Cricetulus griseus: one gene and its partner. The protein of the gene in region 1 purifies or fractionates together with the protein of each later gene. This does not show direct contact. Links are inferred from orthologs where the notes say so. Each region holds a gene or a part of one and is shown on either strand. Other genes may lie near its edges. The genes, in order: Traf3ip2 and Cd40.

The links.
Region 2: the proteins of Traf3ip2 (region 1) and Cd40 purify together in Homo sapiens (affinity purification with western blotting, with the first as the bait; 3 studies listed by BioGRID). This does not show direct contact. The link is inferred for Cricetulus griseus from reciprocal best matches to the Homo sapiens genes TRAF3IP2 and CD40.

Annotation. Positions count from the first base shown.
Region 1 is NC_048595.1:262,138,855-262,142,670, forward strand, and holds part of Traf3ip2 (adapter protein CIKS), read left to right. Parts: intron 1-729; coding exon 730-908; intron 909-2,815; coding exon 2,816-2,904; intron 2,905-3,816. UniProt on the Homo sapiens protein: E3 ubiquitin ligase that catalyzes 'Lys-63'-linked polyubiquitination of target protein, enhancing protein-protein interaction and cell signaling. Transfers ubiquitin from E2 ubiquitin-conjugating enzyme UBE2V1-UBE2N to substrate protein.
Region 2 is NC_048599.1:14,354,738-14,358,553, forward strand, and holds part of Cd40 (tumor necrosis factor receptor superfamily member 5), read right to left. Parts: coding exon 3,754-3,816; intron 3,437-3,753; coding exon 3,343-3,436; intron 759-3,342; coding exon 697-758; intron 1-696.

The DNA of each region.
Region 1 (3,816 bases):
TTAGGGCCACTCTACCTGCTGAAGTTTCAGTGGTAAAAGAGAGGTGCCACTTTGTTCTTGACATCCAGGGCCACTGGATGCTTTTGCAGAAGAGACATACCTGTGACTATCTGCCATAGGAACCAAATAGAAACAAGACTTCATTTCTTTGGTTTCTAAAGCTCAGAGGCATACATGCCATTGTTTCCCCTCAGTACAATGCCCACAGGAATGCTGGAAGCAAAATCATAATGAAGAAGCCATGGCACCAGTCAGATTTTTCACTTACAGAGTTTAAAAGAAATACTTTTAAACCTACATGACTTTAAAAAAAAAAAAACACTTTTGAAACATAAGCAAATGTTATCTATCGTGAAAGGTTGTGTCTTTTTACTTTGAATGCCTTTAATATCAGCCTTCTGTCACCCATCATATTATTTTGTTTTGCTGGTGACCTAGTCTGACCCGTACATGGAACTTATTTTCCCAATTAGATAGACCTTGAATGGAGAAATCAAATCCTGCTTCCCTCTTTTGACCCTAGCACAGGTCCTCACATGTGGCAGCCAGCTGACTCATTTATAGAGGAAACTCCATGGGACTCCTCTCTCACTTCTGTGTCAGAGAACTGGAGGCAGAGGGGAGGAGCCATGTGTTGGTATGGTCCCCCAGTCTGGACGTCTTGCTCTGTCTCCAAACTTTGCCTTTGTAATGAAAATAAAAATTTGCTGTAAACTTATTCCCTTGCAGGGACCAGCTCTATCACCCACCGTCTAGTGGAGCTGGAGCTCCCGAAGGGTCCCTGGAACATCCTGCAGAGCTGAGACCACAGGGCCCCCAGGCTCCATCCCCAGCTGCTGTGCCTAGACCCCCTAGCAACCCCCTAGTCCGAGGAACTCTAAAAACTAGCAATTTGCCAGAGGAATTACGTAAGTTGTTTGCAATGTGGTTTCATCTTGTCAGGTTTTATGTTTGGCTTAGTCACTTACCTATAATCTCAGTTATATTTTACATAGCAAAGTTTACCTTTTCCTTTTTTGCTTTAAAAATACCCAGCCAATTTAAAATGTTTTTAGTAATCCTAACCTCACAAGTAGTGCTCCCAAACTGCTTACCACTGGATTTTCCTCAACACAAAGAAAACAACACCCCGCCCCGCCCCTGCAATACTTCTTTCCTTTTCTAAATGATGCTCTTCTGTGATGTGCCCCTGGGTGGATGGATTGGATGATGCTTGTGTGGAACACGGTAGAAACCTAGTGTTTCACCATAAATCTATCAAGAACAAGGTCATTTTCTGTAGGAGTGAATGGTCTTGTTTGGAAAAAGAAAAAAAAAATCTAAAATCCCATATTGCTCATATCCCAATGCAAACTAAGACTTTTATTTATTTCAAGAAATATCCTGTTCAATGTCAGGTGATGGTTCGTTTGCCACATTATGCTAGATCCAGAAATGGTAAAATATTACCAAAATGTTCTGAGAGTAAGGCCAGCTAGCATTCTTAGTTTCAGAAATCAGTCACTACTTATATGAAGTATTCTGCTAGAAAAGTTCACTCTTTCCAGATCTGGGACACTCAGAACCAAACCTTTGCTTGGCTAACTGCTTTTGTTGCCGCTCTACTCGAGTCACTTACAACTCCAAAGGATTTCTGTGACGTTGAGCACCATGGTTTTCAGGCAAAAAGTTTTGTTTCTGAGCACCTCAAAATCTTTCACATTTCAATCTGGGAAATAACTGAGTGGACAGACATGGTCTCACATGACTTACAGTCCCAATGTTCTGCCTGTCTTATAATCTAGGAAAGGGGTCCTACAACCAGTATGTATGGAGGTGACAAAGGATCCAGTGCTGCCCATGTGCCTGGCCATTGGGTTACTACCACCATCATAGCCCACCACACACACACTCCATCTGAGAGGTGTGTTTCTGTTAGGAAGAGTCAAGCACAGATGAATGCATACAGACTACTCTTCTGCATTTCTCTTCTTTATCCTCTGCCTCAGGGTTTCTTGAGATCAAACTGTTCATTCCAGACTAAAAGGCAATGTGTACAGATTATCTGTCTACCACATTAAGCTGCTAGTCAAGTAATTTCCCCAATACTTTAGTCTGAGAAAGCAGCGGTTATGGCTGGGTAGGGTAAGCTTGTCAGAACAGTTCTGTCTGTGGTTCCGTGCTGCTTGGGGAGGAAAGAGGAAGCTTGCAATGCTGGACTGCCCTGAGGCATTGTCTCCCCTTTAAACTGCTGAACTTGCACTCACATTTCTGATCTGGGCATCAGTCTGCTCCTACTTCCTGACCTTTCTCCAAAAGAGTCGACTGGGGGAGGGCACGGAAACACTTTCTCACTCACCCCTACTTTGTCTTGTTAGACAAGAGTTCAGTGCAGCAGAGAGCATCATGAGATCAAAAGCAGACACTGCTGGTGGCCTCTTAGCAAGCCCTAGCTTCTTAGCCTGCTGTGAGAATATTTTCCTTGGGCATAGGGCCAAGTGTCTCTAAGAAACAAGGCAATGGCTTGAGCTCAAAGGACTTGCAGGCTGTGGGTGGTAGACTTTTTAACATCTCATGTGGCATTCCAGGAGACCTGTGAGGCTGGTCTCAGCCTGCCATTACTCTCCTCTGTCCCTTCTGTCTTCTGTTCACTCTGGATTGTTTGCACTTTCTTGGACAGGTCCCAGCCCTTGTCACAGAGGCCAGCAATCACACCACTGTAGGCAAAAACCCTCAGACCACCCTCCAACACAAAGGCCAATGCATACTCCTTAGAAGTGCTATGTGTAACAGAATAACTTGATTTGTTTCAACAACTCTGGAATTTCTCTCTTAGGGAAAGTCTTTATCACTTATTCTATGGACACAGCCATGGAGGTGGTGAAATTTGTGAACTTTTTGTTGGTGAATGGCTTCCAAACTGCAGTAAGTATTTTATTCAAAGAGAAAACTGAACCATTCAGTTGAACACAGTGATGGTGGTGGTGGTGGTGGTGGTAAAGTATGAAGTTGATGTTTTATTAATTTATGTGGTGATGAGCTAAATGCTTAAGGGTTTGGATAATTGTTTCTGGTTATCTATTTATTTGGTGCTGGTCAAGGCCAGGGCCTCACTCATGCTAGACAAGTATTCCACCACACTTTAAATTACCCAAAGTCTCCAACATTTTTCCTCCAAATGTCCATAGTAGTGCCAATTCCCACTGTTGGTCCTGAAGGAAAGGCCTGGCTTTTGCTGCACTCTCTGCCTTTGCCCTTTCTCACCAGCCATACCCACCTCCTGTGGTATGCAAGCTCACCAAGGTGGTTTTTTGTTGTTGTTTTCCAAACCAGACTCTTTGCTCTGTACTGGATTATAAGGTTTGAAGTAGAACCCTGAACCCCCACTGCACACAGCTGCCCTTCTATACCTTGTTTCCGGAGAGAAGATTCTGGACAGGGAAGACGCAGCCTAGTTTCCATCTAGGGGAGATGGCCCTACATCATCCCTGTAGGTCCATTGTGATCTTGGACCCAAAATTCTCAAGCACATTGTCTTTCTGTCTCCCTGCCAACCGCTGAAACAACACAAGTTAAAGACATGTACATTCTTCCTTAGGATAAACAAAATACCACAGGTTGCCACTCTATGGACTGACTTTCCTCAAACATTAAGATTATTTTCTTCCCAGAAACCTCTCCTAGGCATTCAGCAGCAGTGAATTCCAGAGTGGAGTGAAAAATAGGTGAAATATGGATGTTGGAGGCTAGAGAGGAACACTTACAAATTAAAGAATAAAGAGGTGGCTTAGCATTGTTTAGTAGTTTTTATTTTAATGTGTTTCCTATAATACTTCC
Region 2 (3,816 bases), on another chromosome or scaffold:
GTCTAATCCAGGACCTCACATACACTAGTGTGTGGGTCTAACCCAGGACTTCACACCTGCTAGATTAGTGTGTGGGTCTAACCCAGGACCTCACACATGCCAGACAAGTGTGGGAACCTGGGTCATCAGGCTTGCACAAGAGCTTAGCTTAATGAGCCGTCTCAGTAGCCCTCTTTTTACTTTCTATGTTGAGACAATGTGTTCCCAAACTTCCCAGGCTAGGCTTGAACTTGCAAAATTCTTGCCTCAGATTCCTAAGTAGCTGTGCTGACAGGCCCACTCCCCAGACCCAGCTCTCTTACCCCTCTCTTTACTCATTCAGTGACAACCTAGTCCCTGAATCTGAGGTCGTGATCCAAGCCTCTTGTCAAGCTTCTCATCCTAGCATCCAAACCAAGGCTAACAGGTGACAGTGTCACAGTGCACCCACACCTCAATTGAGGGGCAACAGAACTGTGCTCACAGTTTCAAAATAGTAAAATTCCAAGACATGCTCTCATGTAAGGGAGTACAAGTAAGGGAGGTGCTGCTGCCAACCCATTTCACAGTTGAAGAAACTGAGGCTCACACAGCAGATGTGACTCATCCAGCTCCCAAGATACAAGCTGAAGTACTATTCCCCAAACTGCCTCTTGCCTATGCGTCTCTGTGTCCTCTTTAAAACACTAGGCAGGACCCGTTCTCCCCTGGACTCACCACAGACAGCGTCAGTCCGATTCGTCCCTTCCTGCTGTACCACCATGTTTTTGGCCTCGCAGCTGCACAAAGACACATGTGAACACATGTATGTGCATGCACACACACATGTAGAGAGGGAGAGAGAGAACAGGGTTCCCCAACCATAAGACTTCCAAGCCCAGGGGAGCCAGGCAGCAAGTGGCAAGTCCAGGTTCACTGAGCATGTGGCTTACAGTGCAGCATTCTGAGCTGGTCATTATGGGAAGGGCGGGAACATGCACACAAGTGAAAGGAAAAATTACTGCTTATATTGAAGGAGGGATAGCCAGGAGTGTGGATGATACCGGCCGGGCTTGATGATAAGGGCTAAAACAGAGAGGGCATTGTTCAAAGGCAGGAGCCTCACGGCTGGAATGAGAGGGGATGAGTTTGGTTCTCAGTGGAGCATCTTGGCACCCACAGGTATTTTGAGCTGGGAAACATCCTAAGTCCCAGAATATTTCACAGCGCCTCTGTCTCCACCAGCTAAATGCCAGGAACAGCACTCTAACCAATTACGGCATCTGAAAGATGACCAGATGTGCCCAAGGTCCCATAGAGAGCAAAACTGGTCCCTGTTAAGGGTCTCTGGTTAAGGGTCTTTGGGGGAGACTTCTCCATGGAGACATCGAAGGATGTGAAAGAGGGAGCCAGCCAGGTGGGACCAGTGTGACAGGAGAGTCAAGGAGGCACCTGTGATGATGGAGTGTCCTTGGCACCCAGCCTCATGACCTAACTAGAAAGAGGAACTGCTCCCAGGTCACTCATGCAGGAGACGTTGCAGAAGAGTGGACAGTCGGCTGAGGCCTCCAGAGGGGAGGGGCATTCCAGATAGGAAGCAGAGGGTCCCTGAGACAAATTAGGGGATCCACAAAGGAAGATCAGAAGGGCCCCAAAAGGTACAAAAGTTGAAACAGCAGCACACACCAGCTAAGTGGTGCAGTGTGGCGGGCGCACATTTGACTCCGGTACAGGAACCTCCATGATCAGCTAATACCCACCAGTGGACACTGATGAGTGCCTCAGGTGGCACCATTCCAAACACAGAGTAGAGACTCATGGGAGGGGGGAGGCTTGAACTCTCCATTCAAGCAATTGTTAGCCTTTGGGGAGGGGAAAGAGAGCCCTTATACAAGGTAGGTCACAACTTGTATAAGGTGTGTGTGTGTCTGTGTCTGTCTGTGTGTGTGTGTGTGTGTGTGTGTGTGTGTTTGTTTCTTCTTTACTAGAAGAATCTCTGGAAAGGAGCACTGGGAAAACAGCCTGAGGGGAGGGGCTTGTTCATTTAAAACAATAAATGTAAAGAGTTAATGGGGCATGTACTTAAGGGTTCTCCCAGGCAGGAGACTTTGAAGCAAAAGAATAAACAGTGTGCTCAGGGGTACAAATGCAGGGTACAAGATATGGGGGGAGAGTTAGAGGATCGTGCCGGACCCCAGCCCCACCCCAGAGCCAGGACTTCTTCCCAGAGGCAGCAGAGAGCCATGGAGTGCTGTAAGCCACAAAGTACTGTGATCCAAAAAGGGCTATGGAAGGTCACAATGGCAATACAATGCAGAACCAGCCAAGAGGTAAAGAGCCTGTGAAGAGACGAAGCCATCACCACACTACAGTGATGAGGCCCACGAGACCACACTAGAGAGTAAAGAGGTGGATTCCCAAGACGCTCATAGCAGACTATAGACCTGACTGAGGTAGAGGTGAAGGCAAAGGTGTGCGGCTCTATGTGACTGCCTCAAACCAGAACCTGCCTTTCCCTTGGGGCTTGGCTGGGTGCCCATTCTGGCTATACAGAGACTGAGGTGTTGGGGAAGCTCTACATTCAGCAGCAAGACTTGACCATCTGGGGCCCAAACCACAGATCCAGGGGGAAATGGAACCACGGATGTAGATAAGACAGCCCAGGAGAGGGGGAAAAGTAACTGTGGAGAAGAGGACTCAAACAAAGCACCAGAAAGTCAACTAAGAGTCAAGAAGGGCTGGGGGATAGATAACCCAGTCAGGAAACTACTTGCCCTGTAAGCATGAGTTTAATCCCTAGGACCCACATTAGAAAAAAGAAATCCAGGCTTGGGGACATATGGTTGTAATCCCAGTGCTGCAGAGGATGCAGAGGGTCCCTGGAACCCTGACCAGGCAGCCTAGTCTACTTAGCAAGTTCCGGGCCAGTGAGAGACTGCCTCAAACAAAAGAAAAAGGTGGATAGTACCTGAAGAACAATGCCCCAAGTTGCTATCTCACACACACACACACACACACACACACACACACACACACACACACACACGTGCACACATGCATATGCATACACAAGAGTGTGTACACATACACGTATGTACAAGTGTGCGCATACACCTACACGCCCAGAAAGCGGAAGAACTGACAAGGAACATTCATCGAGAGAAAGGGGTGCTGTGGTGCCTCAAGATGAGAGACTTCAGGAAGGGAGGGAGACCCAGATTCTATTAACTAAGCAAGAGCAGGCAAGAAAAAAGTGCAGAAAGTGTCCCTTAGGCCAGCCATGAGGGCACATTCACAAGCGAGTGAGTCACTGAACAGCAGGTGACTGGAGAAACTGCCACAAGACCCACACTACTTTTGGTTAAGGAGAGGCAACCCTTCTACCTGGTCCAAGGATGACATTGTTCAAAAGCTGATGACCCACTGGAGAAGAAGCCGGCTGGGCAGGGTTCACACACCGTATCGGCAGTCCGTGTGGCTGGGAGCATGTGGGGAGGATGCATCAAGAGTCTCTGTGAGTCACGGTGTCACAGCCTGAGCCTGCCTTCAGCTCCTTGCCCCGGCGCAGTGGTGGCCCTGAAGACTGCAACCCAACAGGAGTCCCCTTCCCCTTCCCCAGGAAGTTGCCCATAGCCAAGGCCAGAATGCAAAAGATCCCACTTCCTGTTACCCAGAGGGAAGATGCCAGTCCAAGTGGGAGTCGCTATCCCCTCAGCTTCTGGGGGCCAAAGCCAACTGCTCAACCCCAGCTCTTTTCTTCCACCCATAGAGCTGTTTCCCAGGGAGGCCACTTACCCATCTGCTTAACTCCAAAGCCAGGGCCACAGGATGTGTGTTGAGCACATCTCTGGCACTCCT